4 linked regions of the Astyanax mexicanus genome follow. The protein of the gene in region 4 purifies or fractionates together with the protein of the main gene of each other region. This does not show direct contact. Links are inferred from orthologs where the notes say so. Each region holds a gene or a part of one and is shown on either strand. Other genes may lie near its edges. The genes, in order: ccnd1, runx1, atxn3 and hdac3.

Region 1 (7,370 bases), on a different chromosome or scaffold from region 4:
TGTCCCTGTGATTAAATGTTTATGCCTGCCTATTTTTCCTCTCCAGCAGTACGGACTGGTCACTTGCTGCCTAAAACATAGATCCCAAACCTAGACAGCTGCCATTGTAACCAGACAGTCTATATTATTTATGTTCCCTCTCTGTGGTATTATTGTTATGGCTAATTGACGTATATGCATAAATAACATGCAAATGGTATTTATGCAGGCCTTCTGAGTTAATGACAGGTATTATTTGTTTGAAAATAATATTAAAATACATGCAAAGAAACAGTACAATAGTTATGTGTTAGCATTTATAATCCATTATATGAGGTAAACATTATTTAAGGGTTTCGGTTCCAAAATAATTTAAAAGCCATTTAATCATTTTTAAAGTTGTTGAGAGTTAGCTTAATGCATACATTTTAGCGGTAAACTCTTACACACACTGAATAATAAATTACTTAGTATATATATATATATATATATATATATATATATACTTTTGCACTAAACATACTTGACCATTCATCCTTACATTGCATACTAAATCAAATTCTATATTGTACATACCTAAAATTAAATATATTTTTTACCTTTCAGTATTTGTTTCCTTTATTATTCTTTCATTAATATTATATTTTATGTTATTATTTGTTATTAAATGAGATCTTGTTTTTTAAAAGTTATATAGTTCATCCTATTATCCTAGCTTTTCACTCTTTATATCATATAAACTTTAATTCAATTAGTTAGAATTTTTAACCATTATTAGAACAATAATTGTGTTTTTATTTTGTTAAATTATGTTTTAAAACAGTGTATGTGTAACAGATATTAAAAAACACAATCCTGTGTTCTTCACTGCAGTCTTTAAAATGTATTATATTAATAAAATAAGTGTTTATTGTATGTGCGGCATGTGTTTTACTGTAAAGGAGACTTTTTACTCCAATATAATGTATTGCACTCTGTTATCTAAAAAATCTAGTCAAGTCAAGTCAAGTAGTTTTATTGTCAATACTGCATATGTACAGGACATACAGAGAATTGAAATTACGTTACTCTCCTTCCCAATTTTACAGCAAGTACAGATAATAGATATAGTAAAAGAGAATGGGAGAAATTATGGGTACAATACAGCAGGGACACAAATAGACATACATGAGACAGAAACAAGGTGCAGTGGTGTGGGGAGAAATAGATATATAAATATAAGTAAAAAAAGAAATAGATATATACTATAAAAGAGTGGGAGACACTATATGTACAATACAACAAGACACAATAAACATACGTAAGACAATAGTGCAATATTGATGGTGATTGAGATGGAATGACAGTATAAATAGTATATATCAGTAGTGCAAATACGGTATATGGTATATAGCTTAAGGCTGGTAAAGTGAATGAGTGCGTAAAGTTCTTAAAGTTCACAGTTTATGGGGAATTAAAGTGCGAATTGACAGTGCAAGTATATCAGTAGTGCAGGTTTGGGTGTGTAGTGCAAGTCCGTTTGGAAGGGACCAGTACTTTGTGCATTGTAGTGCAGAGTTTCAGTACTGTATTAGTGGGGGGTCAGGATTCTGAGTGAGTGAGTCTATTTATTGTTATCTATTTATTGTTTAGGTAACTTTTTTCAAAGTGTCCAAATAACGTACATTTTGTAGGAAAATTAAATCAATGTCAGATAATCAAAAACAATTGATTATTAAGGTAAGTTTTTGTGTTTTATGTTTAATTAAGTCGTTAAGTTTAATTGAAAAGTTTAATTGAAATCGCTTTTTAAACAGCTGTTTTTTCTCTGAAACTCAGAGAATGTCCTTTCAACTTGCAGAACAGGCCAGCAGCAATACTACACACATTCATTATTTCTGTAAAAAAAAAAAAAAAACTGCCATATTTTAATAACCCTTAGTTTTTAACCCCCTGGTTTTATGACACAACATTATACAGCTGTACTTAAATAAATGGTAAATTCACTAGTTACAATAAAATTGTAACTCAGTCTGAAGTATCATCTGAGTTCACTTTTATTCATGCTTAGCTGGAGCTCCCTGATCAAAAAAAGGAACATATTGAAACAACGTTCATTAAAAATATCTGAGGAAATGAACGAATGTAGCAACACTGCATCCAGTTCTTCTTTTAAATGAAGAAATAAAACACTGCTCTGCATTTATGATGCAAGTCTTTTAAACTCTGAGAACATGTGAGAATGGTCTCTGCTGAAAGGGACATTTGCAAGGCCTTAAAACTTTCTATTCAGTTTACCGTATTAGCAGGAAGAGCAGCACAGGCACAAACTCACATGGTCTTTCATTCAACAAAGACTCTGTGTTGTAGCTCATGCATGTGGGTGCAGGGTGAACATGCAGAACAATGCAGAACTATATATAAACTGTGGAATCGGTTTTAGGATATTTGGATGGGCTTACATTTTAGCAAGTAACAGGTTGAGACCCACTTACATGCATATGATTTATCTTTTTCAGATTATTTATCTATGTCTTGTTTAACCTAGAGGCTTTTTTTTCTTTATATGGTTTATCTAACGTTAAATTAACATTTTATTAGACCTTATACAATGCGTGCATATAATCTATCTCAGACTTTTAATACATATCATATGTACTATTATAATTATAATTATTCAGTAGTAAATTTATAATTATTCAGTAGTAAACATGGAAAAAGCAAAGCAAATATGGGTAGGCTTTCTTGAGTTATATGATTCTTGTATTTGGTTATTTAATTTAGAAGGGTTAATGTTTACTGTGAAAATAAACTATGATTATAAGTACTTTAAAACAGCGCCTTCTACAGATATAATACAGCTTATAATATGTGAATAAAAATGTAACAAAACATTAGCAAAAAAACATACTTTATATATTTTTTTAGTTTCAAACTGTTTAGCACTTCCTTGTTCGTGTCATGCTGGTATGTAACTGCTTTGTAGTTGCTTTGTTACTGTGTGAAAACTTTTGTGCCCTTTTCCACATTTACAGCAGTGTTTTTCTGCATTTTAAACAGCCTCCTTTTTTAACCACGGTTTAAAACTTCGTATATGCAGCGAAACAGCTCCGTGTGCAATCTAAAACAGAGTTTAAAAAAGTTTACATTGTTTATGTAAGAAGCAACAGGCAACTTTTCTTTCCGTTTTTTTTAGCGCGACTGTATTAGATGTTATACGGTATCCAAAAGTGTCCAGTCAGGAATGTGAGGAATTTCAAAGGCTCCAATTCATCCCAGCGACAGCCAGCAGTGAGGTCTTTAAAGTGAGAGCGCCCCTATTTGAGCAAAACTGTTAACATCACACACTCACACACAAGTCTGAGACTTGAGAGACGCATAAAAAATAGATATATATATTTAAAAAAAAAACTTATCATAGATCCCTTAAATAAATCTTTAATATTTTTTCGACTTGTCTACTTTAATTAGAAATAACTTGAAATTATTTGATGTAATGTTTTTAACTTTTTTTCCCCTTTTCTGATAATGCAGAGTGTTAAACTGCGAGTCTCTTTATTGACTTCTGTCTTTACTTTTCTCTTCCTGTCTGTGATCAAACTGCGGTAGTTGTTGTCTTTTTGTCTCTTTTTACTTTTTTCACATTCCCACACACGTTCACCCAATGAGGGGCTGAGATAAAAAGCTCCACAGCTCCAGCCGCAGTTCTGCCTGGCAACTGAAGTTTGCGCTCATTGGTTCACGCTAATTTCGGCTTCCTCCTCTTTTTCTCTTTTCTTGGTGTGGAAGACAAAGAGCTGCTACAGCGTTTAAAACCTCATTTCCCCTAAGTTTCACAAGTTTTATGGCAGCCTGTATCTAAAAGAATGCGCCACAAGAGAAGTAGAAAACGCATTTACAAATACAATTGTAATAGAATGGCAGCATTTGTTTTTATTTTTTAATCACACAGTTTTATTTTAAACTTATTTTTGAGCCTATAATATTACTGTAGAAATTGTGAACATGCATAAACGCACTCTAATAACGCACTAATATACTAATAATAAACCTAAAGCCTGACAGTTTCTAGAAAGTCCAGCTCCATTGCGCTTTAACTGATAATAATTAGGGTCGGTGATTTGTCCTGTTATACCGCCCCCTACCAACATTTCTAGACATTTACACATCTTTACACCACCACCACCAAAAGCACCAAAAGCACCAGCAGCACTCTCTCACTCATACTCATTTGATACCCCCCCCTCCCCCTCCAGCCTAGCTACACCTCCTCCTCCTCAAAAGCCCCCTCGCTCCTCCTCTGTTGCCTACCCCCCACCGTCTACCCCTCAGCCGTTCGCCACCCGGGGTAAAAGTAAAAAAAAAAGGACCTCCCATTTCCACACTGGCGGCAATAGAAACGACCACAAAGTTCTCTCTCCTTCGTACACTCCCTCTCTCTCTCTCCACCTCCCTCTCTCTCTATCTCTCTCAGGCCGCGCGCGGCGCTTTGATCTTCCTTAACAACAGTCACGTCATCCAAAGGATTTTTTTTCTTTGGTCAAGCGGTGGATTTTTCTCTCTCTCTCTCTTTCAGTCTCTCATACAGACAGACGCACACTCTCTCACACACTGAGTATAGCAACCGCAGCAGCAGCAGCAACAACAGCAGCCGCAACAAGAGCATCATCCGCGGGACGCACGCTTTAATCAAGTGCTTCAATTAAATTATCTGCCGCTAAAACTGTGATTACCCCGAAAATCATGGAGCACCAGCTGCTGTGCTGCGAGGTGGACGCCGTGCGGAGAGCCTACCACGACACGAACCTGCTGAACGACCGAGTTTTACAGACCATGCTGAGGGCTGAAGAGACCTACCTCCCCTCTCCAAACTACTTCAAGTGCGTTCAGAAGGAAATCGTGCCTAAAATGAGGAAAATCGTCGCCACATGGATGCTGGAGGTTTGTGTTTTCAGACAGAGGCGTTTTAATCCCATGTCTTTAACATTGCACAACTTTTTTGCGCTTTATTCTCTTCCTCTCCCTTTCTCAAGACGATTCTCCTCACGCTCTTTGGACCTCTATCTCTCCGCACAGGCCTGGTAGAAACCGGAGGAAACGCTTTAAAAAAACATTCTCTATCAGTTTGTCACGGCTTAAAAGCTATAAAAGTGGATTTTAATGCTCGAAAAGTGTCCGAAATACACTTTCTAAGCCACTTTGCTTTTTTTATTTTGAGAAAATAAAAAAAACACCTCAGGAAAGTAAGTTAGCTATAGGAAGTCTCGAGCGATTTTTTTTTTGCGAGGAGGTCTCCTTTCCGCTTTAAAAAATAAAAATAAAAAAGCCTCGCAGAGATGTGACCACTTTCGCTTCGTTTTCTTCCCCACCCAAAGAAAGATCCTCAAAAACATTTAATCGAATTTATTTCGATTTAATATCGATGTACACGTATGCAATCCCACTCGTGCCAGTAGCCTATTATGCGCCATCTTTGCTGCCGCGCCGACACAAGTTCTAATAATATGTTAAAAAAACACCTCAAACGATTATAACATTTGAAGACAATGTGCGAGAATCACTCTTTATCGCACATTTAACTTAGTGTTTGGGGACTGAGGTGAATTTTGAGGTGCAATGTAGTGGTTTAAGCTCTTAAAACTTTACTTTCAGTTCAGACACGAGCCCCTCCGCTTGTCGGCTTCTGAAGCTCCAAGACGTACAAAAATGTTATTTTTTACGTTTCTGAAGCCGAACACAAGCCCGAAACGGTTCGGGTTCGGTTCCTTAGGGTGTGAGGCGGATTTAGACGTGTATAAAGTGGGGTTTAGTGCGCAAGAATAATTTATATTAATTTTTCAAAGCGCGCTCGCGGCGTCGAGCATGTCCTTCAGTCCACATTTTCACTGTCGGTGACATTTAAATTAAATTTACCCCTTTAACCTTCACAAATTCGACGTTTTTCGATCGGAAGCGATAGAATATACGTCAAAGGATATTTAGAGACTATTTAGGTGCGCCGCAACAATTTTGTTATATTTTTAAATATTTTTTGAAAAGATGACGAACTAGAAATTGTGACGACACCTTTGTAGCATTCTGAAGGAAGCAGCCGCTGCTAGCATGTGCACCACTGCTCGCGCTCTCTAGAAAGCCTCTGGTGCTAAAGCCGTGTTATCAGCTAGCTAATGCTTCTCTTTAATCTAATTATTAATACATTTATTTGCACTGCAATAGATGGATTTTTTTTAGGCTTTTCAGTATTAAAGCTATGCCCGGTGCACACAAAGCACGTGGGACTTCCACAAGTCCATTTTTTCCGAGAATAAAATTTTTTTTTTTTAATCAGGCCTAATGTTTAATGTCTTCTTTTACAAATACTTCGTTTAAGACTAAGTGCAATCAATCTCACTGCTTGTCTTTCTTGTATTTATTTTCTTCTTTTCTTACATTAGAAATCATATGTAAGTTGTCGGCTTTATGGCTTTGTTTCTCAACTTTTGTGACTCCTGACTCAAAAACTCTTCTCTCTTTTAAGGTGTGTGAAGAGCAGAAATGTGAAGAGGAGGTTTTTCCCTTGGCTATGAACTACCTGGACAGATTCTTGTCTGTGGAGCCCACTAAGAAGAGCAGGCTGCAGTTGCTTGGAGCTGCCTGCATGTTCCTGGCCTCCAAGATGAAGGAAACCGTTCCTCTCACAGCTGAGAAGCTCTGCATATACACAGACAACTCTATTCGTCCATGCGAGCTCTTGGTAATTAATTACATTAATTATAACAACACAGTAATACACTGAAGTTTATGAGGTTGAGAGGGTTAATCACTCTTGGGAGCTTTTTTTGCTTGCATTAAGGTTTTGCAGGATGCATGCAGTGTTGCAGTGCAGTTCTGCATTTTAGTTTTTAGTCATAGACAAACCCAGAAAGTGAGAGAGAGAGCGTTTCAGAATGGAAACTCCCTGCATGTCAGCATTTAAATGGTTGTGGGTTGAAATGTACTGCTAATTGAATAGCTTAAATCAATTGAATAGCACAGTGCTATTGTAGCTCCTGAGATATGACCCCATCTAGTGGTCGACCGTTAGACTACTGACTGCTTCTGCTCAGTGAGAGCACACATGGTGGAAGCGTGAAGAACTTTTTGAAGTCCTTTATGTAAACCGCCGCTCTGTTCTCGTGTGTCTTTCTCACAGCAAATGGAGCTGCTGGCGCTGAACAAGCTGAAGTGGGATCTAGCCTCAGTGACACCACACGACTTCATTGAACATTTCCTCACCAAGCTGCAGATACACCAGGGCACCAAGCAGATCCTGCGCAAGCATGCCCAGACGTTCGTGGCTCTATGTGCAACAGGTATGTATGCGTGATCCACATTTATACCTCTCTCTCTTGTTTTTTTCTTCTTTTGACCAATATGTTTTTGTGGTTGTGTGC
Region 2 (7,629 bases), on a different chromosome or scaffold from region 4:
ACATTTTGACTTCATGAAAATACAAAACATTTACAGTTGACCTGAAACCTACAATACTGTACAAAAATGTACAATAAATCATCATGACCTTCATTGTTCACCTTCTTGCTGACATTAATTATGTTTAATTGCATGTTTGCTTGCATACAAATTAAAATCTTAGGTATTTTAGCAGGTTGTGCAATGACCAGTGCATCAAAAACAGCACATCCATACACACAGAACAGTCTTTATTAGGGAAAGAAATAAATAACTAAACATTTATTGCTTTTAAAAATGTGTTATTGCAATATTATTATTCTAGTATATTGCCAATATGTTAGTGGCTTTAAATGACAAGTACTATGATGTATTGCAATTATTTCTGGGGCGATATATTGTCCAACAAAATGAGTAATTACGCACTCATTCACTTTACCAGCCTTAAGCTATATACCATATTTGCACTACTGTTATACGGGTTCTATTTATACTGTCATTCCATCTCAATCTCCATCAATATTAAACTATTGTCCTCCGTCTTACGTATGTCTATTGTGTTCTTGTTGTATTGTACATATAGTGTCTCATATTCTTTTATATTATATGTATTATTTCTTTTTATTTATATTTATATATCTTATTTCACCCCCCACCACTACTGCACCTTGTTTCTGTCTCATGTATGTCTATTTGTGTCCCTGCTGTATTGTACACATACATGGGTGTCTCCCATTCCTTCTTTTATTATATATATATTCTGTACCTGCTGTAAAAATTGTGGAGGAGGGTAATGTAATTTCAATTCTCTGTATGTCCTGTACATATGCAGTATTGACAATAAAACTACTTGAATTGACTTGACTTGACTTATATGTGCAGTATTAACATTAGGACAGTGTATGTAAAAAAACTGCTATAGTATAAAAAGATACATGCATTTATAATATATGTGTAAAAAATAATTTAACTTTTTATCAAATCTCAATTGCATGATCTAATGACCAAGTCAGAGTTTAGCACAAACTAAACAACTGTCTAAAACCAATCTAACAATATGAACTACTAATTATTGTACAAAAATCTATACTGTGTTTTTAAAATTGATACAGTAGTGCAAAAGAAAATATTGCAATACCATGGAATATTGATCATTCTTATGCACCTAATTAGCGTAGTAAAAATAATATGTTAGCCTTATATTTATACTAATACCAGTATATAATAACATCAGTGAATTACAGGAAACAAATGTGATTATCTGTATGGTATGTCAGCTACTGTAAATGCAGAAGATATAGAAAGGAAAAAAAATGTTGCGGTCAATTTAAGATCATCGCTTGCTAAATATGCACCATTACTCCTCAGTGCAATTCTCCTTCAGGTTCTAATTTCTGGGTGTGTTTATGAGTTCATCTGTCCCCCCACCTCAATCTCAATATCATAAAATCTATAAAACACCAGCTCCCTGTCTCTCCATGGGAGTGAAGAGCAGAAACTGAGTCTGTTGTCCATCCCAGGTGTCTGACACACAGGCAAAGAATGCTGTGCTGCAGTGATGAGCCTTAACCTCCCTCTCACACCCAGCAACTAAACTAAACTAAAGTCAAAAGTCTTAAAACAGGCAAACTTCTATTATTTAGTGGTCAAAACTGTGGAGGGTCCACTTAAAGGTGTTTTGTGAAATTGTCAAGAAAGATGTTCAACGAACATTTTCTTCTAAAAAAATGTATATATATTTTATTTTTGTGAAAGTTACTCAAAGCAACACACTTTAATGAACATTATTAACATTGTCCATAACATCCTTATATAAAAATATATATATATATTTACATATACAAACAGGAAAACTTTATCTAACGCAAATATGTTATTCTTTTTTTACACAGGAGCATTGCAGAGAACAAAGGGCATTGCAGTACATTCGTAAAAGCCCGCTGTGTTATTGCTTGGTGGAGTGAGGTTAACCAGTGGAACACTCAGTAACCCACAGACCTGTGGTTTTCAGATTCAGCCACGAGATTTCAGTACACCACTGACACAGCAAACCAACCAGTGTGACGTTTTGGATGTTTTGCCTCTACTTTCCATCATGCTTATTAGTTTGTTAGATTGCAGTCAGGCTAAGAAGATAAGATAAGAACTTAAGCCGTCAACTTCTTGTTTCACAAATGTGTGTCTCTGAAATTCTGAGCAATGTATCAACATATAATCTAAATATAAATTAAACGTAACATGACTTACCTCTGGTGAAGCAAGACTGATAGGAGGAGAAGGTCTCGAAGATGCTGTTCGAGGCCATGGCGAGTGGCTGCTTCTCAAAAACGCTGTCCTCCTCTTCACTGGAGTCCAGCGCCTCCAACTTGACTTGGCTCCTAATTTTGAAGTTTGAGTCTGTGCTGCTGCTTTGCCCTGGAAAGACCAATGGTACAGGCATGGTGAGTTTGTGTAAGAAGGTGTGCATGGTCTAAGAAACGATCAGTAAAAAAAAAGTCTATAGACTTTAGAACCAATGGACAACCTCCACTACACAGTGCTCCCTAAATAAACTGAAAGTCTACAGAACAAAATCCCTGGGTTACACACCAACGCCCACACCCTCAACACCCTCAAGTCCATGGTCATCCAGTGATGGTCCGGTCGTGGCATCAGGGCAGTTGTTGTGTCCTTGCGTGTTGTGCATGGTTGAGAGACACTGCAGATAGTGATCGGCGGTCAGACTGCGGTCGACTGATGCTTACCCTTGTGCTAAAGAGAAGGAGTAGAAATGTCGCGCTGTGGTTTCTGTCTCTCTCTCTCTCTCTCTCTTCTCTCGCTCTCGTTTTTTTTTTTTTTTTTTTAGTAATCCGGGTGATTCACACTGACATCTGACATCAACACGTAGACTCAGCACTCTCTTCTCTCAGTTTCTTCTCTCTTTCGTTTTTAATCGTACGGTCCGGTCTGGTCCCCCCGCTCTATCTTTATCTCACTTTTCTCCAGGGCTCAGGGAGCCGTGACTGGTGGCAGTTTTGGTTTGTGGTTGTGGTGGCCCACAGAATAGCGGCTCCCAAGCCAAGTGACAAGTTTAACTCTTCCCTTCTATAAAAAAAAGCAACCTAACCCTAACAGCTCAAGCTCCATTGGGCCGCCACGGTCACATGGTCCGCTGTGGTGCAAATTTCATTCTGACTTTGTGTTTAGAGGTTTCCCTTTGTAATACGGGCACAGCACAGGCTCTATCAGCAGCCCTCACTCCTCTACGTTCTCTTGGAGGAAACTGATGTGTTTTTTCGTTTTTTTGCTTTTTTCATGCAATAGTAATAGTGTAAAACAGGGCACAGCAGGTGCACACAGCAGAAAAAAGCAGTACAGTTCAGACGAGTTCAGAAGAGAAGCTAAAATAACTGCACATGACTGTTTGTGTAAGAAGAGAATCTACAGCGCAAACAGAGTCTAAACATGCAAATCTCTCTCCAGGAGAGCACACAATTAGCCCTGTGTCTGTAGCAGCATCTGACCACCTCAGCTTGTCAGAATTTACATGTCATCTTTTCATATCTCTTTATCTACATATTTTGCACGAGAAAAGAAAGAGTGTGTTTACTTACAGTAGCGCGGTTCAAAGAGGATTGCATGTGTGTTCAGTCAAAAGGCAAAAATATATATTTATATATGGCTGAAATAACAAAAAAAGATGCAGAGCTTTTAGATCTCAAATAATGCAAAGAAAATAAGTTTATATTCATAAAGTTTTAAGAGTTCAGAAATCAATATTTGGTGGAATAACCCTGATTTTAATCAGTTTTCTTCATGCATCTTGGCATCATGTTCTCCTCCACCAGTCTTACACACTGCTTTTGGATAACTTTATGCTGCTTTACTCCTGGTGCAAAAATTCAAGCAGTTCAGTTTGGTTTGATGGCTTGTAATCATCCATTTTTATTTAGTGAAATCAAATATATACATACATACATACCATATAGCCAAAATGTCACACAATATTTTTTAATCTAATTAATGCATCATGTAATAAAATATTATAAAAAAGATTTAAAAAAAATTATATTACCATTTTTTGTCGCAATATGCATCAATATTAATCCAGTTTATATGTATTGTAATAAAAAAAGAGTGGATTTCTATTCATTCTGAAGATTTTTATTGGTCTGTTTCTAAACTGACATGGTTTGGTATAGTAGTTACAATATGCAAATTTTAAGAAATACACCAAATACGCCAACATTATACTTCTTAATTTTGGCAATACATAAATACAGTCATTTTGATGTCGCTATTAAACTGCCAAACCTGCTCACAACTAATTTCTGTACTGTTAAAAGTAATTGACAATTTATGTAAGTAATGCAATTTCTCATTAATATTAGATATGTATATAAAACACCCAATTGTCTATCATTAATACTATATACTGATATTTAAATTATTTTTTAGTCATATACGCATATAGGTTGCCCTCACTTGCTGCATATCTGGCACACAAACTGAATCCTATAAGATGTTTATTCTATATAATTTCAGTCCACATTATTTAAAGCCAGTTCCACAGGTGGTGTGTAATGCATGCCAGAGTATTGCCCACATCAGGGCACTGTCCATCATCAGGCAAAACCAGCCATTGTTTAGGTCTAATCGTGTGCAAAGAACACCACGTCCACGAGGGCCTCCTGCAAAAAGCCTCCAAGCCCATTATATCATCCTCCGACACCTGCGTCCACTCCTGTCCCCTACCCGCCCCCTGTAACGAACACTCGCAACACCTCCACCTGCACCACACCTCCAGCACATGCCGAACACACCCACACCTGTGCTCACTTTTACACACAGTAATTTAGGCGTTGGGGTCAAGTATGGTGGGGCGGAGTGTGGCGGTTCGCATCGGCGTGCATGGCCAGCTGCTACCCCACCCACACTGGACTCAGATTTCAGACTCAGACGCAGACACACTCCGGGGGCAAAATACTGACGTTTGTAGAGGGAAAGTGGATCTGTGTGTTTTGCCCTTAATTGTACATTTGATTTATATGATAATGGCACTTTTATGTTTTACTCTAAACTAAATAGGTGAACAAATGGTGCAAATTGTCAGTAAAAAATATGTAATGAATAAAAATTAGCACTGAAAATATATATATGTTACACCTGTAATGTCATTAGCATCGTAGTATATATCATATCTGTTTCATTTAAGAGTTTGTCATTTCACCAGCCAATGTAATTTTCCCTGTGAAATTAAGGGGAATTATTATACAGTATTATACAGTATATCCAAATATTGAATTTACAATGTAAAAATATCATAAATATAACATATATATTATTTTTACATTGTAAATTCAACATATTAAAGCTATACAGAAACATGGAATTATTCTGTGAACAAAAAGTGTTAAACAACCCAGAATATGTTTTATACTTTAAATTTACATTTATCTTTGAGTTCAGATCTGCACACTCTTGGTGAGATTTTAATCTCAGTGTCTTCATGAGGGAGAGTCACCTGGAATAGTTTTCTCAACGTCTTGAAGGTAGGAGTTTCTGGAGGTGCTGACCAATAGCTGCTGCTTTTCCTTCACTTTGCTGTGAAGCTCCAGCTCATCCCAATTAAATCACCTCAAATCAATTTTTTACTGTTTACTACATAATTCCATATGTGTCCCTTAACTATTTACATGTTTTTCAATATTAATCTACAATGTAGAAAATACATTAAATAAAGAAATAAAGATAAAAACTTAATGACAAAGTGTGTCCAAACTTTTGCCTGATACTGTATATACCGTATCTTCCTTTTGATTCATTTAAACTGTAATGCACTTTAATGGTCTTTACTGTCCACCCAGGAATCTTGGGATATCTGCATCTTTAAGAAAGCAATCTTTGATGTTGGTGACATCACAACCTTCACACTCTTTTATTTCTAAAGGACTGAAGACACTTACTGAATATCGTCGCTGTCCAATGAAAAACACTTATCTCCAAAACAGCAACTTTACAGGAGAGAAAAAAACCTTGTGAACTTTTAATGGAAGTCAATGTAGAATTAGTTTATTTCAGGTCATTTTGAAAAGTTTCTTTTGATCTGTTCATCAATAAATTTGGCACAGTGTGAGAGAGTTTGTCTGTTCAAATTATGTAGTAATCTAAAAATCGACAGAAAAGGAGATAAGTGTTTTTTATAGGACAGCGACGATATTCAGCAATTAAAAATATTAATGACACTTAAAATTTTGTCTCAATTTTTAGCGAAGGTAAAGATTGTCCACCCTGATATGGTCTAATATCATGGTAATTAAAATAATGAAAAATTAAAACATGGAATTAAAGGTCAACCACATTTTCATCACATGCATGCAAGTGGAAATATAAAACTGTTTAGATTTCTGTATTGTAAAATTCTGTTCTGGCAAAGGAATTTTACAATAACGCTACATGAATAAAAGTGCTTTAAACAGTAATAAACATTTTAATGAATGTTTAAGCAATATCGCAACTAATTATTCAAGTTACCATATATTTTAGACTATAAGGCACAATTTTAATAAGTGTCTATTTTCTGGTTTATTTTCATACATAAGGCGCACCAGATTATAGGCTGCATTAAGTGACACTAGTAAGGATGCCTACATCGAAGTGAGTACAGGTTTCGCCATGTTTCTCTTTTAATGGAGAAGCTAGAGAAAAAAAAAAGGCTAAGTAAACAAAACTGTATTTTAAAAACATATGAGTGCTGGATGTTAATCTAGACAGATTTCTCTGCTGAAAACTGTTTATTTGGGTGAGTAAAGGGCTTCAGTATATTGACAGTAATCTTACATTTCCAGTATTTTGTGCAAGAGTGTATTACTGAATTTTCAGTGAAGGTTCTCCAGCACTAAGGCTGGGTGCAGCAGCATTAGCATTAGCTGCTAACCACAGTGCTAGTGGGACGTAAATGCTGTAAATGTGTTTCGGTAACCCAGAGTATTATCAGCTTTATACAGAGCTTGTTTTAACATGGTAAACACAAAGACTACAGTCCGAGCTAGTGTTAGTGCAATGTACATAAATTAAGGCACACTGTCCATTTTTAGGAAAATTAAAGGATTTTAAGTGTGCCTTATAGTCCGAAAAATATGATAACTGTGGAACGGTTGAAACTCATCATTATTAAACATTAAATTACAGATTTATTTCCTTAAAATTGGATCATTTCACTTAGATCTTCACTTCACTAAGATTAAATTTTTTTTGCTGTGTAATAAATTGTAATGCTTTAGAATGTTGTAAATACTGTTGAAATTGTATGAATTGAGATATTATTGAACATTTTGCAATTTTTAATAATTTCTTAATCTCTACTCTCACTTCATAATTAGTTTAGTCATTAAAAATATACATATTAATTAATGTTAAGTTTTAAAAGAATAGGTTTGAGGGCACAGTATTCTGATAATAACTATGCAATATTTCTGACATGGCTTAGAGGCAGCATATGTCACTGTATGTGAGATGAGATAAAGCAGAAGTTTGAGATCATCGTGAAGATATATAGAGTAGCTTCTAAAGAAACAATGCTGACATCATGCAGCTGCAGCTTCCTTTAACCTCCAGTTTCCGGGGAGATTCGGGTTTTAGGGTCAGACAGGGTCAGGGGGTCATCCAGCC
Region 3 (7,255 bases), on a different chromosome or scaffold from region 4:
AGTTCCCTCGAATCACAAAGATGGAATACCCTAAAGACAAAACATGAACACACACATAGTAAAGGTTCTCTTTAAATACAGGGGAAACTCTTAACTTTAAATGTACTTGAACAGTTCCAAAGGTACTCAAAACGACTTTACCTTCTTGTTGTAGCTGTGCAAGGAAAAGTGCCAGGTATGTATCTGATATTAGTTCTGGTCCCGTTAAAAGCGAGTTCAAATTAAACCACTACAAAGAAGGACAAGCTATGTATAAGATTTTACTTCTCTTTAGTAGAATAATAATCAGACACTTTAAGGTATTGTTTAATGGTATTACCTGCTGGCCCAGCTTTCGTACTGTAAACCAGTGTTCCTTGTAGTTACATATAAAGGCTTTTTCATTTCTAAAATTAAAGACAAAATTTGAGTTAAACATTTAAAAATAACTACAACAGAAATACTAATTCGAGAACAGTTACACATAAAACATAAGGAAACTTACACCGGCTCTATCATTAGTCGCTGGTACTCCCGGCTGTTGAACAGGATCAGCTCCAAACCCCACACTCCTAAAGCATTACTTATCACCTGCAATGGCAACATAAATGCAGTTTAACTACAATTACAAAAGAAAAAAATGTTTTTTTATTTTTTTTATACAAGTATATTTTCTATAAACATCCTTAAAATATATGCTATTCCATGTCACGTCAGAACACAGATTTTGAACCCACTATAAGATCAGGAATTAAATGCATATTTGTGGATATTTGCTTGACAGTCTGGAGCATGCAGAACATTTCAGGTAAATAGCTTAACAAGCAACTGAACAAACTTTACTTGATGCTAAATGACTTTTGTACATTTGAATTAATCAATGTGTTTTTTTTAAGCTTATAAATAATAGTCTTATGTCAACACTTCCAATGCACTGGTGACATCTAGCAGTGTGGCATGGAATAGCACATTAATAAAACATTGGGAGTTGTTATTATTATTAATAACAAACCATTTTAAATAACAAAAAATTCTCACCTGAATGGAAAAGAACCCGCTGTCATCCATGTTTCCAGATGGTTGCTGGGATACAGAAAAACAACCAAAACATTGTTAAGCTGCTGAATAGCTTATTAACATTAACTGTGACCTCAACATCATACTTTTACTCACCTGTAAAAATGTCCTGTACTCCTCACTCAGCACACCCCCCTCAGCCATCCTCATCCGTTCCTCTTCATCCAGCTGCTGTGCAATCGACGACAAGTCCACTGGAGTGAAGTATTCACCCTGAAGTAGGTTGTTCAGGCAGTGCTGGGCACATAAAGAGCCCTCTTGCTGTAAGGCAATGAATTAGCATATTTTACATTCTGAAAATAGACAGAAACTACACATTTCTTCCACATAATAAAATATCAGACACATATTTTAAGGCAATGACTTTTAGATTAAACAATAGATGACAGTAGTGTAAACTCTTAGTAAAAAAAAACATTGAAAATACATTTTTATGGCTAAATTAAATGTTATGGCTAAAATTAATCTCCTAGCAAATCCTTAGAGCAATGTTTTATAATTTTGGCACAAAAAAAAATAATACAAATAAAAATCCATTGATTTCAGAAAAATATATGGCAGGTGCTAATAAACTGCTGGACACTAGTGATTTCACAATATTTCATAATATTTTTTGTGGGCGACATATTACCCCAAACATAATAGCAAAAAATTATATTGTATGCAACTGATAATATAGTAGCATATTAATGCACTAATCCCATTTTAAAGAGCAATGGACTTTTACTTTTTAAAAATGTTTAGACAGTCTCATAGTCCACATACAAACTCATTCACATTATTTTGCTTTTCTTGCTAAGAAAATTCTTTGGACATGGTCTGGAAAAATTATTGATGTAATTTCCATATAGTGTACGACAAGTCAATAACATAGTTATAGTGACAGGCCAACAGGACACATACTTTATTTTACAGACACCACCACCGCTAATAGACATGTGGACGACATTCCAAACAACCATTCTAGTAGCGCTGGAAAATATGGCCAAAAAGTATATTACGATACATTTCTTAATTTCTGTTATAAAATATAACGATATGAATTATATGAACAGCATAGTCACATGCTGATGAAGCTAGATGATATGGTAAATATATTATATCATAATATATGAAATTTTTGACATAATTTCCTGAATTTAAAATTAAAGTCCCAAATAAGTTAAAGCTAATTAATCTAGTTAGTCCAACAAAACAGAAAATAAGCAATCACAGTAACTTAGCTAGGTAAAGTAAGAACTAAATATTTACCAACTGTCAATAATTTAGACAGTAACTGCTGTTAATCATATACATTTAGTTAGTTAGTTAGTTAGTTAGCTATGCGCACTTAGGTTATAATTATTTTGGTTAGACAACTATCTGTAGCAGTGGGTAGCCCAGGTCCAGGAATTAAAAATCCACCGCAGGAATTTGTTCAAACCGCCAGTAAGGCACAGCTGCAGCACAGCCGCCCGGGCGGTTACACCCAAATCCCGGGCCGGATTTTTGCTTTCCGGAACTTCTTTTCCCAAACATTGAATTCTCAGCTACACCAACAGCGATACTATACCCATACAACCTCGAAAACATCAGAACACAATTAAAAATAAACCCAACAAGCACCCCCTAACTCACACGCTAGCTACTGCCCTGTAACCGGTCAAAACACCGCCTATCCGCTGACTGGTTATCAGTTAGCTAACGAGCTAGCTTAGCATGATAGCGAGCTAACAGCCTAGCAAAGAGCTAAGAGGAGCCAAAATAAACTCAGACACTTTCCCTAAACTCAGCTCTATCAGTCTTAATAACCACAGGACCGAGCGCGCCCAAACTGGCCGGTAACGAGCTTATAAAAACTGAGGAAAGAAAAGCAGAGCTCACTTTTTCGTGGAAGATAGACTCCATGTTTGAATTGTCTATGAAGCATCATAGCTACTGGCCAACTTTGACCCCGCGCGTGACATCAGCAGAGAGAGAGAGAGAGAGAGAGAGAGAGAGAGAGAGAGAGAGAGAGAGAGAGAGAGAGAGAGAGAGAGAGATGAATAAAAAATAAATAAAAATAAAATATAAAAAAATATTTTATATAATAAAAACACAAATATACCAAAAGACAATATATAATACATATAATATTCAAAACATATGGGGAAACAAAAGATAAACACAGAAAAACAAACAAATACAAAGTCAACTGCAAATCGCTTACTTCAACATCATCATTTATTGCACAAATACACACAAATTCTGGAAAATTTACCTAAAAGATTGTAATATGCATACTCCATCATAAATCGTGCAGTCACCATAACTAGAAACATCCACCATTTTTTGTTATTGTCATTGCTACTTTAGTTAATGCTTTAAAAATATTGGACTCGTAGTCTACAACTAAGGGAGAGAGATGTTAAAAAATGTAATATAAGGCTTTTGATGTTCTTGGTCCATATGGCCGTACCCACAAAAATTTTTTTCTAGGCTTCTTTTCATACTTTCTATTTCTAGTTCAAGAGCACCTTGCACATCTTACAGATCTGCCTTTGGATATTTTGAGGCCTAATTTAGCACAGCACTGCCTGGACTGTAGGTGTTCTCAGGGCAAAGAGTGCTGCAACTATGTGCTCAGCAGTTTACTTAATGCCTACAAATGTTTATATGATTTTTTAGGTGTTATTTTGTTTCTTTGATGTTGAATTTGATTATTCTGTCTCCAGAACACAACTAGTATACAACAAGGCTGGAATGCTTGATAGATACGTCCAGCAGATGGTGCTATACACAAGAAATTCATGGTTGTAATTCAGTCTACAGAAACAGCTGCTGTATTCACACTGCACATAAAGAATAATAAAACTGGCAGATAACTTTAAACCTATAGCATAAACACAGACTGAACATAAACTACAGCTTGGCTTACTTCAGGATTTTAGCAATTACTGTAGAAAAGTATGGACAGCACAGCATCTCTCAAAAGTGAAGCAACCGCAGGTCATGCGATATGTAGCTTTGGCTATTCCAATAACAATGCAACAGCCCATTTTACAGTCTGGACTCCAGCCTGGGTGTAAATTTGACTTGTTTGGCTTAATTTCTATAGAATGAAAGGGAATGAACCACAGTGTTATGTTCTTTTGTGGTTACTGTGTTAATATCCAATATTTAAACTGCTATTTTCTATATAAGGAAAATATAAAAATTTTGTGTCTGTGTGACTCCCCTCTCCTGTCATCAGTGTGTCATTACCTACAGCCTATTTAAAGCAAATAGTCTAAAATGCAAAGTTTAGTATCTTAAGGACATTAGGCTTAACAGGTACAGGAAACCTCAATGTTATGTGACATGGGTTATGGGCCTACAATATACTAGTAAATGCAAGTGTTATTGAGGATATCAGAAAAAATTAGAATCTTTCCTAGTATAAATTACAGTATAGAAAATGTAGGAGCTTTAATTAGAAAAAGTTAGTTGCTGATGTAGCTTGTGGCATTTTAGGCTAAATCTACTTGCTATAAATGTTTTTGTAATTATGAGTTTAAGTGGATGAAAGCTGGACATCCAGACAAAAACATTCTTAACAATGCCAGCATGGGTAAGCTTGGTCATACTGGGTATCTAGCTTGCTTTGGTTGATCATACTTGTTGACCAAATAAACTATTAAACTTAAACATACCCTCTACCTTAGTCAAAATATAGGGTGGTAAACCAGCTTTACACTCGTGAGCTGGCCATGTTGTTTTTCAGCTGGAATGTGACCAAAATTGTGCCATTTTGCACACTGGTTTAGGCTTATGCTTTGTGAACTTTACTGCCTGAAAAGACAGTATAAACTAAATTTTATCAATAATGTATAACCATAAGAACCACTGCTTCTCATTTTCTATTCAGAATTTCATTACTGCATTCCCACTTACTAGAATTAGGTCACTAAGATCACAAATCCCAGCATCAAACACACACGCTCACACGTTTTTAACTCCAATTTTTAAAGTGACTCTTCATAGAACTAACCCAAATCTACGATGATGGCCACAGCTGGTTTTTACTGTTTTTTATCTCTGTAGGTGTGTGCACTATAAGTTACTAAGCCACTGTTTTGCAAGTGCTAGATTTGTGTTAGATTTGTAAACGCTTGTATTACAGACTGCTGTAATGTACAGTCATGTGCAGAATGCAAATGTCACAGAGGACTTAGGTCCATCCAAGCGCGATTGTAAAGCCCAGTATTTTTAGAGAAATTCTTCCCAAATGCAGCCAGATTGGATAATCTGAGCGCACTGAAAGGGGGGCCAGCGTCTCGCAGTTAGTGCTGCTGTCTGTCTGTGCAGCATCCTCCATCCTCGTGACTGACCTCACATTGAAATGCAGAGCAGTGGATCATTAGGAGAATTGGTTCGGGGCGGTGCAGAGCAGAGCACGGCACATTCACCACTGGAGGGATCAAATCTGTGCCATCTGACGCTCAAGGATTTATGGGTTTAGTCAAAATTGCTTTTCCCAGTGGGGAGATTAAGCACTGAGGGATGTTTACAGTGAAGGCAGAGCTGTGTGTTCTTCTTGAGCTCCAGTGCTAAAAAAGAATGTCCTCCTCGGCTGTGTGTTCAGGAGCTGCTCCTGCCCGTGAGGTGTGCGGAATCTGACCGGAGGTGCTGTGTAAGGGTATGTGCACCATGCAGGCAGATGCTGTAGTCCTGCTCCTCTGTACCTACCTTATGGGTGTGGCCGGGATGTCACCTTACCAGAGGGGTCACAAGCTGGAGACCTATAAGCAAAGCAGGTAAAGAACCAATTTGATCAATGTAATTGAAAGAGTATATACAGAACTTTCTGTAGTGTCTTTGTGCCACTTGTTGTGCTTTATCACATACTGTGGTGACTTCAGTGTAAGTTGTTACAATGTTTTAGTTCTGCAAACTGTTTAAAGACAGCTTAGAGTAAGACTTTAATCTGATCTTTAAGAATGTTTTGTTGGAGCAGCACATCCATCATGTATAAGATTGTGTTTGTAGAGGAGGGTAATGAGTTTAATGCTATTTTTACTCTTTAGAGCTTGATTTGCCAAGCTCACGTGTTTACGTAGACTTTAAGTAATGCTTTGAGGAACATATCTGTAGAGAAAGCATTTAGACTTTAAGGCAGTTATTCTCAAGCCTCGTCCTTCATATTTTAGTGGTTTTCCAATACAAATTGGTACATACATAGCATTTAGCACTTTATTAAATCTGTTTTCTACACTCTTAAAGTGTTTTTCGAAGCTTATTTAGTAAAATCAGTAGTTCTTTACACTGACATTCCAATTAGCAATAGCTTGGGAATGCCAATACCTGTTTAAGTAGTGAATATGTCACAGAAATCAGCATTGTGGGTAATAATGATCATGACCAACAGCATCTGGCTAGGATTGTACATGTGAGCAGAGCAGCATCACTCTGGCAGGAAATAATCTCAATTTAATGCAGGAGGCCCCACACACATATCCCACAGAACATTCTTTAGCTTTTTAGTTAGTCTGTTTAAAGAATATTGTACTTTTTTTTGAGAGAGAATTAATTTTATTCTTTTTTGAGAACCACCAAATATATATTTATCATTATAATACTCCAACAAAACAATACAGGTTGCCACACAGGTGATAGAGTGATGAAGTGAGTGTGTTGAGGTGTGAGGATATTCAGGTAATGTAAGGACAGCACTATCAGCAGATTTAATCTACATTGCGAATTTGTGGAGGATAAAAAACACCCATTTTAGGAAGCCTGTGTACAGCATTGTAGAAGGTGTTTTGCAAACTATTTAGATCACTAACCCTCCTGTTATGTTTAACTGTAAGATACAACAATAATGCTCCTGTGTCAGATACACCCAATCCATGTTTAACACACTTTTAGCCTTAATTATTATTTTATTTACCCTTTTTAGTCTCTTTTCAAATGTTCTGTACCTGAACAGTGTGAACTTTTGGTGGGGGTGTGGGGTTGTATTTCCCACATTCTTTTTTTCTAATTAGACCCAGCATTAAAGATTTATAAAAGTGCTCTAAAAATATTTTAATACTGTATTTGGGGGTTTAGGCAGTCTAAGACTTTGACACTGTGGCCTAAGGATTGTGAGTTTAATCCCAGGTGATGCTGCCCCTGGGTAGATTGTACTCACCCCTCCGCATCACTCACATTTTAATACACAAGGGGTCTGTGATGTTTCAGAGTGGGGATCCGGTGCTTT
Region 4 (7,415 bases):
GTTGAATGTGTTGAGGCTCTTGGTGAAGCCCTGCATGTTGTTTGGGCTGACTTTCTGCAGGAAATCGATGTAGTCCTCTGAGTGGAATCGACACATATCGTGCTGAGAGGCTTTGTATGGTTTAAAAACCTGGTGGGGAAAGATATAAGTTAGAGAAGCGCTGTGCTTGTGTAAAAATAAATAAACTAATAAAAATGCATTACATCTTTAGAAAGAGTAATTAATTCAGAATAAATGTGAATTACCATCATTTTTTTATATAAGCCATAATGCAGGACCAGACTGTGGGTGAGGGACAGTCTGTGGGGTTTCATTGGATGACCAGCACCTGCAGAAACAGCCAATCAGAAACGTTATTCATATAGCAATTAGAATGCACATTTGTGAGAGTGTGGGAGTTTGAATATGCTCTGTATTAATAAAAACATTTACATTTAATCAGTTTTAACTGTTCCTCACCAGGGGTGCAACAATTAGTCGATATAATTGACAATGCAGATTATTTTAATCGACATTGTCGATTAATCGTTAATTTGTAACAGTAACACATTACACAAAGTGCTGGGGACAGAAGCGCAATGGGAGACTTAGCTAATTTGTGTCTCCAAAAGTGTTCATTACATATTATATCAGTAAACATCAGTAATTTCCATTTTAAACAACGTTCAGACATTTAAATGCCATTTAAACCTCATGTTCTGCTGTTTCTATCGTTTTTAGAGATGGCAGAATTACTAATGGCATTGACTAATCGACTGATCGGAAAAAAAACCCCGTCAGTTTAGTCGACTACCAAAATAATCATTAGTTGCAGCTCTATTCTCCACAAAGTCATGAGATTTTAATCAAAATAAAGTGAATTATGCATATTCACACAATCTGTCTTTTTCCTTGATTTAAAGCGAACAGTCAAAAATCAAATTAGAACAATATTCTAATTTACAGCTTTATTGTTTAACCTTTATCTATTTTACATTAGGGTGGAAACAAGCGTAAAGTCATAAGTCATGGCCGTAAGTGATCCCCATTACTTAATTATTACGCAGGAAAAACCAAAGAGCTGGTGGTGGACTTCTGCAGGACCAAACACTCTCCTCCGGTGCCTGTGAACATCCAGGACTCGGATAGTACCTAGGTGTCCACCTTAACAACAAGCTGGACTGGACTGACAACACGGCTGCTCTCTACAGGAAAGGTCAGAGCAGACTGCATCTCCTGAGGAGACTCCAGTCCTTTGGCGTGCGGGGGACACTACTGAGGACCTTCTTTGATGCCGTGGTGGCATCAGCCATCTTTTATGGAGTGGTCTGCTGGGGCAGCAGCATCTCCACCACCGACAGGAAGAGACTGGACAGAATCATCAGGAAGTCCAGCTCTGTCCTGGGGTGTCCTCTGGACCCAGTGGAGGTGGTGGGAAACAGGAGGATGAGGACTAAGCTTAACAACATGCTGAAGAACCTGTCCCATCCCATGCACCACTCTCTGACAGCACTGAGCAGCTCCTTCAGTACCCGGCTGCTGCACCCACGCTGTGTGAAGGAGAGATACCGCAGGTCCTTCGTTCCACACGCCATCAGACTTTACAACACACCGCGCTCCCAGTAAACACTAGTTTACTATCTCAGGACTTCATAGAAACCTACATACTACTCAGTGTAGCTGTAATGCTTACGGTGTGCAATATCCATCTCACTACGGGTACTGTGATCATCATTTGTGCAATTTATTTAATGTGCAATATTTTTTTTTCTCACTTTTGTTTTTATCTATTATTTATTTGATATTTATTCACTGTTACTCTTGTGCAATAATACTGGTCCACCCTACCATAATCATATCTCTATGCACTAGATGTATATATATATTTTCTTTTACTATATATAATTTTTTAAACTATCTTTATATATTTTCCTACAATAGGTTTTCTGTATATATAGATTTATCATTATTTGTATTTACCTTTTCCTGACCTGTTTCTCTGTCCTTTACTCTGCACTGCTGTAACATGGTAAATTTCCCCATTGTGGGATTAATAAAGGATTATCTTATTTTATCTTATCTCACTCCCAAGCAAATTTTAATGTAAAGTGAAAACAAGTATCTCGAAAAACAGCAACTTTGGACTTCTACAGGAGGAAGAAAAAAAAAAACTTTCTTTAATTGGAAGTCACTGTAAAAGTTGTAAAATGAGTTTATTTCAGGTTATTCAGGAGAATTTCTATTGATTCATACAACATCAGTTGTAAAAACTATATAAATAAATTAGGTCTGATTTGATGAAATATGGGTAAAAAGCGGAATATGGTGAAACCAATAAAGGGTAAAATTAGCTAATTAATGAATATTTAGAGCTTTCTATTATCTCAGTGTTTTGTTATTTACTCACAAAATCAATAAAACAGTTCTAGCTTACACTGAAAAGCGTCAGCATTAGTTACCGTCCCTCAGTGGGAAAATTCACAGTATTACAGCTGCAAAGGGATAGCAATGCGCTCAGTACAAAAATATATACAAAATACACCTTGCAATATATACTCAATACAAATAATAAAAAGTCAGAACTCTTAAGAGTGTATTTATAAATAATTGCATATTGCTTATTAGTTGCACAGGGGTAATACATTGCTGCTAATCTAGTCCCCTAATCTACAGATAAACCCTCACTAAAAAAAAATAATAATAATAAAAAAAATAATAATAATAATAATAATGTATGGGGAGTTTATTTACTGCAGTTAGCCGTTAGCTTAACTGAGATGCTAGCGCGGTTCTGAGGTAATCTGTTAGCTTTAGCCGCTTTAGCTCCTCATTTTCCGCTTACCGTAGTGAAAATTACCCACATCCGGGTCATAGAAATACGCCGTTCGATTCGTCATTTTACCACCAGATTTAAGCAATCGATTAAAAGCGTTAAAATGCGATTATTCGATAAAACTCTCCGCCAAACCGCTACAAACACATCCGCCGCACAGTCGCCATCATATACACGCGCACAGATACGTCATCAACCGGGGACAGAGACATCGAAGTAGGGCACGTTCCAACCACACAAACTTCCGCACTTCATAGGGTGTAAACACTGTTCACCAGTATTAGAAGTGCACTTATATATTTATTTTATTGTTTTTGAAAACTGTAAGAAATTGTTAAGCTATAAGACAGAAATGTACTATGATATAAGACTCATTTACACAAATAAGCAACAAAACATTGCTATAAATTAACAGAATAAATCATAAATGAACTGAAGTTACTTCATTAATGGTCCATTTAACGATTATTATTTACATTTTCTAACCATTTAAGGCTAAATGCAAAAATAGAAATTTGATGTAAAAACTCATTATTTCATTTTTTTTATGTAGTTTAGTGTACAAGAAATACGTTTTCATACATTTTACAATTGATGGAAATGAAAAGAAAAAAATATTTTCTTTATTTTCTGATTTTTTAATGTTTGCATTTTGCAAGTTTATAGATTATACCATCAGATTTGTGTTACTAGATACAAAAACTGACAAATCTGAAAATAAAGAGAAGATTCAGCTTTTCGTTTTACTTAAAATTCTAAAAATGGAAAAAAATAATAATTAAGTTTTATACCCAATTTTCTACTTTTGATTTTAGCTTGATACAATCAGAATACATTATGTATGATTTTTTGAATTTGCATAATTTTTATAATCGAGTTCATTTTCATTTGGGAATATAAAAAACAAACACGACAGGAAGGTTAAAATATCAATCTGAACTTTATTGATCTATTTATTGATTTTACAGAAAATGCTTTAAATTAAACTGTCAGTTCACGAACATTGCCAGCAATAATTTAACCTAACAGTTTATAAATATGAGAATTGACAAATCTGAATATTAGGTTTAGATTTATAAATGCATATCAATTTAAATTTGCACGTGAAAAAACGTGAAATTTTCTTAATATGTATTTTTAGCCATCACTATTGCTGTACAAAAGTACCACCATACAGCACATATCAGCAAAACACCATACAGCACATACAGGGGTTGGACAATGAAACTGAAACACCTGTCATCATTTTAGTGGGATTTTAGGTTTCATGTGTAAATTGGAGCAGCCTGGTGTTCAGTCTTCATTAATTGCACATTGCACCAGTAGGAGCAGAGTGTGAAGGTTCAATTAGCAGGGTAAGAGCACAGTTCTGCTCTAAATATTACAATGCACACAACATTATGGGAGACATACCAGAGTTCAAAAGAGGACAAATTGTTGCTGCATGTCTTGCTGGAGCATCTGTGACCAAGACAGCAAGTCTTTGTGATGCATCAAGAGCCACGGTATCCAGGGTAATGTCAGCATACCACCAAGAAGAACCAACCACATCCAACAGGATTAACTGTGGACGCTGTAAGAGGAAGCTGTCTGAAAGGGATGTTCGGGTGCTAACCCGGATTGTATCCAAAAAACATAAAACCACGGCTGATCAAATCACGCAGAATTCAATGTGCACCTCAACTCTCCTGTTTCCACCAGAACTGTCCGTCACCACAATCAATTATTGTGCTCTAAAACCAGGTGTTTCACTTTCATTCTCCAACACCTGTATATATCAGTTTAAACAGACAGTACGGACACATCTCCAGAGCCTGTTCAGTAGTACAGTAGTATAGTAGTATAGTAAAGACGGCAGAGTATAATCACCCGCTGTTCACTTCAGCTCAAAACCACTGATTTTTTTTATGTTTAAACATATAATTATTATTAATATTTCTACATTTAAACCAGTCGCACATAAAAGCAACATAAATAAGCACTTGATTTTTCTTAATTCATTAATCTTTACATAAAATTCAAACTTTACACAGTCATTCTAAACTCTAACACACATGAAAACACTTTCCAGAGCCAGAGAGAGCCGAGAAACGATCAGAAATTACACAAAACTATAATTTCAGCTAAAAGTAGCTCAAATATCACTGCAGCGGGAGAAGAGTCTCAGTAGAGCAGCGGGTTATTGATCAGTATTGATCAGAGGGCTGTGGGTACACATGTTTGTCTGAGTGTATAAGTGTGTGTGTGTGTGTGTGTGTGTGCGTGTGTTTGGGGGGGGGGGTTAAAGGCAGAAAGAGTTCAATTGAAATCCAGGCTAAAGTGCATCTGATTAATGCAGGGGATGAGAGGCTTCAGACAAACCGATGATATTTTTTATATATATAAATAAAAGGGCACTATGAGTGATTATGATAATCATTTTTATTTAATTTGGCACTGATGCATGTTATTTATGTTGTATATCATTTAATGTTACATGTTGCTCATTATTCTCTATATATATCATTATAATTACTATAATTTTTATATAATTTCATTTTAAACAGAGCAGCAGTTACTTCAGCTGTTTTACAGACTTACAGATAATAAATAATAAAGAATAAATAAAGAAATAGTATAAATATACTGCTATCTGTACTTATTCCTTACATTAATATTTATGCATCAATCTGCCAGTCTGATCATATACCAGCCTACAGACGGTGTGTTTAAAAATATCTTTATTTTATTATTAACTGGTGGAAGTTAAAGGAGATGATATAAGTCAGATCTGGAAAAAAATAAGAGACACTTAAAAATGATGAGTTTCTTTGATTTTACCAAATTAAAAACCTCTGGAATATAATCAAGAGGAAGATGGATGATCACAAACCATCAAACCACCAAACTGAACTGCTTGAATTTTTACACCAGGAGTAAAGCAGCATAAAGTTATCCAAAAGCAGTGTGTAAGACTGGTGGAGGAGAACATGATGCCAAGATGCATGAAATTAAAACTGTGATTAAAAACCAGGATTATTCCACCAAATATTGATTATTTCTGAACTCTTAAAACTTTATGAATATGAACTTGTTTTCTTTGCATTATTTGAGGTCTGAAAGTTCTGCATCTTTTTTGTTATTTCAGTCATTTCTCATTTTCTGTAAATAAATGCTCTAAATGAGAATATTTTTATTTGGAATTTGGGAGAAATGTTGTCTGTAGTTTATAGAATAAAACAACAATGTTCATTTTACTCAAACATAAACCTATAAATAGTAAAATCAGAGAAACTGATTCAGAAACTGAAGTGATCTCTTCACTTTTTACAGAGCTGTATATGTTTATATGTGTTTGAAGATTATGAGGGATATTTTCTATATTAAATATATTATAGGCGTAGAGGTCTATAGACACGTCTCCACTGAGGTCTATAAGCAGAAGGGAGGATTCTGGGTGAGTCTATAGCTCCTCGCTCTCGTACAGCGGCGCGGTGTGGCGGGGGCTGCTCTCTGAACCCAGGCTGGAGAACTGGTTGATGATGGGGAGCATCTTCACCGGCTTTACTGGAGTCCCGGTTTTATTCACCCGAGCTGCAATAATAATAAAACACTTATAATTATCAGTGTAAAAGAGAAAACAGAGAACAGACAGTAGTTCACTAATAACAGAATAAGTGTGACGGATCTCCTGAGTATCTCCTGTTAGAGTTACACCAAATCAGGGCTAAAATATATAAAAAAGCAGAATAAAGACTCTTTCATTGAAACAACAGCAAACAATCTAATTCCTAATAAATTGGCAGGTTGGGTGTACAAGGTAATAAAACCCAACAGAAACCATAATATACAATATATGCAATATTCTCATGCATTGTTGGATTTTGCTTGTCTGGCTTCCAGTTAGTTATAAAAGTGCTTTAAAGTGCTGCTGATCTAGAGTCTATAAATCACTGAACAGTTGTTGTCCGGAATACACTGCAGATCTGTTTTGAGAAAATAGACCCAATAGATCTGTTAGATTCATGAACTCGGGTCAGTTCGTTAAACCCAGAGTCCAGTCTAAACATGGAGAAGCAGCTTTTAGTTATTATGCTGTATATAACTGAAACAAACCACCAGAAAATATTAGAAATGCCACAAATGCTCTAAAAACGTTTTCTTGTGCTTTTAACTAAAGCACTTTACTTCACTGCATGTATATTTTCCCCTTATCTTACAGTATTATCATACTTTACTTGTATTTTTATTATTGTTGTTTTAAGATGTTTATTTTTCTTTTTAATGCACCTTATTAATACCAAGGTGCAACATGGAACAACAAGCAATAGACAACATAAAGTGCAGGAGTGACGACAGTGCAACATAAAATTATAAAATTATAACACTAAATAACAATAAATACAATAAATACAAAAGACGAGACAATTTAAAGACAGGACAGTGCAGTACCGATACGGTATAATAGAGTGTATAGTGAGGATAAGGTGCAGAGATGTGTGACATACTGTAACATATAGAACATATATAATCACAGCAGTTACTGAGGTAGAGAGTTTTCTTTTATTTTAATTGTCTTAATGTTTTTATTTCTCATGTAAAGCACTTTGAATCGTCAAGGTAT

The links.
Region 1: the proteins of hdac3 (region 4) and ccnd1 purify together in Homo sapiens (affinity purification with western blotting; 5 studies listed by BioGRID and IntAct, with this or other methods). This does not show direct contact. The link is inferred for Astyanax mexicanus from reciprocal best matches to the Homo sapiens genes HDAC3 and CCND1.
Region 2: the proteins of hdac3 (region 4) and runx1 purify together in Homo sapiens (affinity purification with western blotting; 3 studies listed by BioGRID). This does not show direct contact. The link is inferred for Astyanax mexicanus from reciprocal best matches to the Homo sapiens genes HDAC3 and RUNX1.
Region 3: the proteins of hdac3 (region 4) and atxn3 purify together in Homo sapiens (affinity purification with western blotting; 3 studies listed by BioGRID). This does not show direct contact. The link is inferred for Astyanax mexicanus from reciprocal best matches to the Homo sapiens genes HDAC3 and ATXN3.

The regions. Positions count from the first base shown.
Region 1 is NC_064423.1:33,877,834-33,885,203, reverse strand, and holds the start of ccnd1 (G1/S-specific cyclin-D1), read left to right. Parts: upstream 1-4,348; 5' UTR 4,349-4,701; coding exon 4,702-4,899; intron 4,900-6,475; coding exon 6,476-6,691; intron 6,692-7,129; coding exon 7,130-7,289; intron 7,290-7,370. UniProt on the Homo sapiens protein: Regulatory component of the cyclin D1-CDK4 (DC) complex that phosphorylates and inhibits members of the retinoblastoma (RB) protein family including RB1 and regulates the cell-cycle during G(1)/S transition.
Region 2 is NC_064428.1:5,713,029-5,720,657, reverse strand, and holds the start of runx1 (runt-related transcription factor 1), read right to left. Parts: upstream 3,020-7,629; 5' UTR 2,666-3,019; coding exon 2,569-2,665; intron 2,395-2,568; coding exon 2,227-2,394; intron 1-2,226.
Region 3 is NC_064421.1:14,488,686-14,495,940, forward strand, and holds the start of atxn3 (ataxin-3), read right to left. Parts: upstream 3,025-7,255; 5' UTR 2,944-3,024; coding exon 2,920-2,943; intron 1,318-2,919; coding exon 1,153-1,317; intron 1,063-1,152; coding exon 1,018-1,062; intron 571-1,017; coding exon 485-570; intron 387-484; coding exon 320-386; intron 230-319; coding exon 142-229; intron 31-141; coding exon 1-30. Other genes in the region: gamma-aminobutyric acid receptor subunit rho-1, read left to right, coding at 5,695-5,810. UniProt on the Homo sapiens protein: Deubiquitinating enzyme involved in protein homeostasis maintenance, transcription, cytoskeleton regulation, myogenesis and degradation of misfolded chaperone substrates.
Region 4 is NC_064417.1:54,131,521-54,138,935, forward strand, and holds the start of hdac3 (histone deacetylase 3), read right to left. Parts: upstream 3,006-7,415; 5' UTR 2,877-3,005; coding exon 2,822-2,876; intron 329-2,821; coding exon 246-328; intron 130-245; coding exon 1-129. Other genes in the region: myot (myotilin), read right to left, coding at 6,255-6,385. UniProt on the Homo sapiens protein: Histone deacetylase that catalyzes the deacetylation of lysine residues on the N-terminal part of the core histones (H2A, H2B, H3 and H4), and some other non-histone substrates.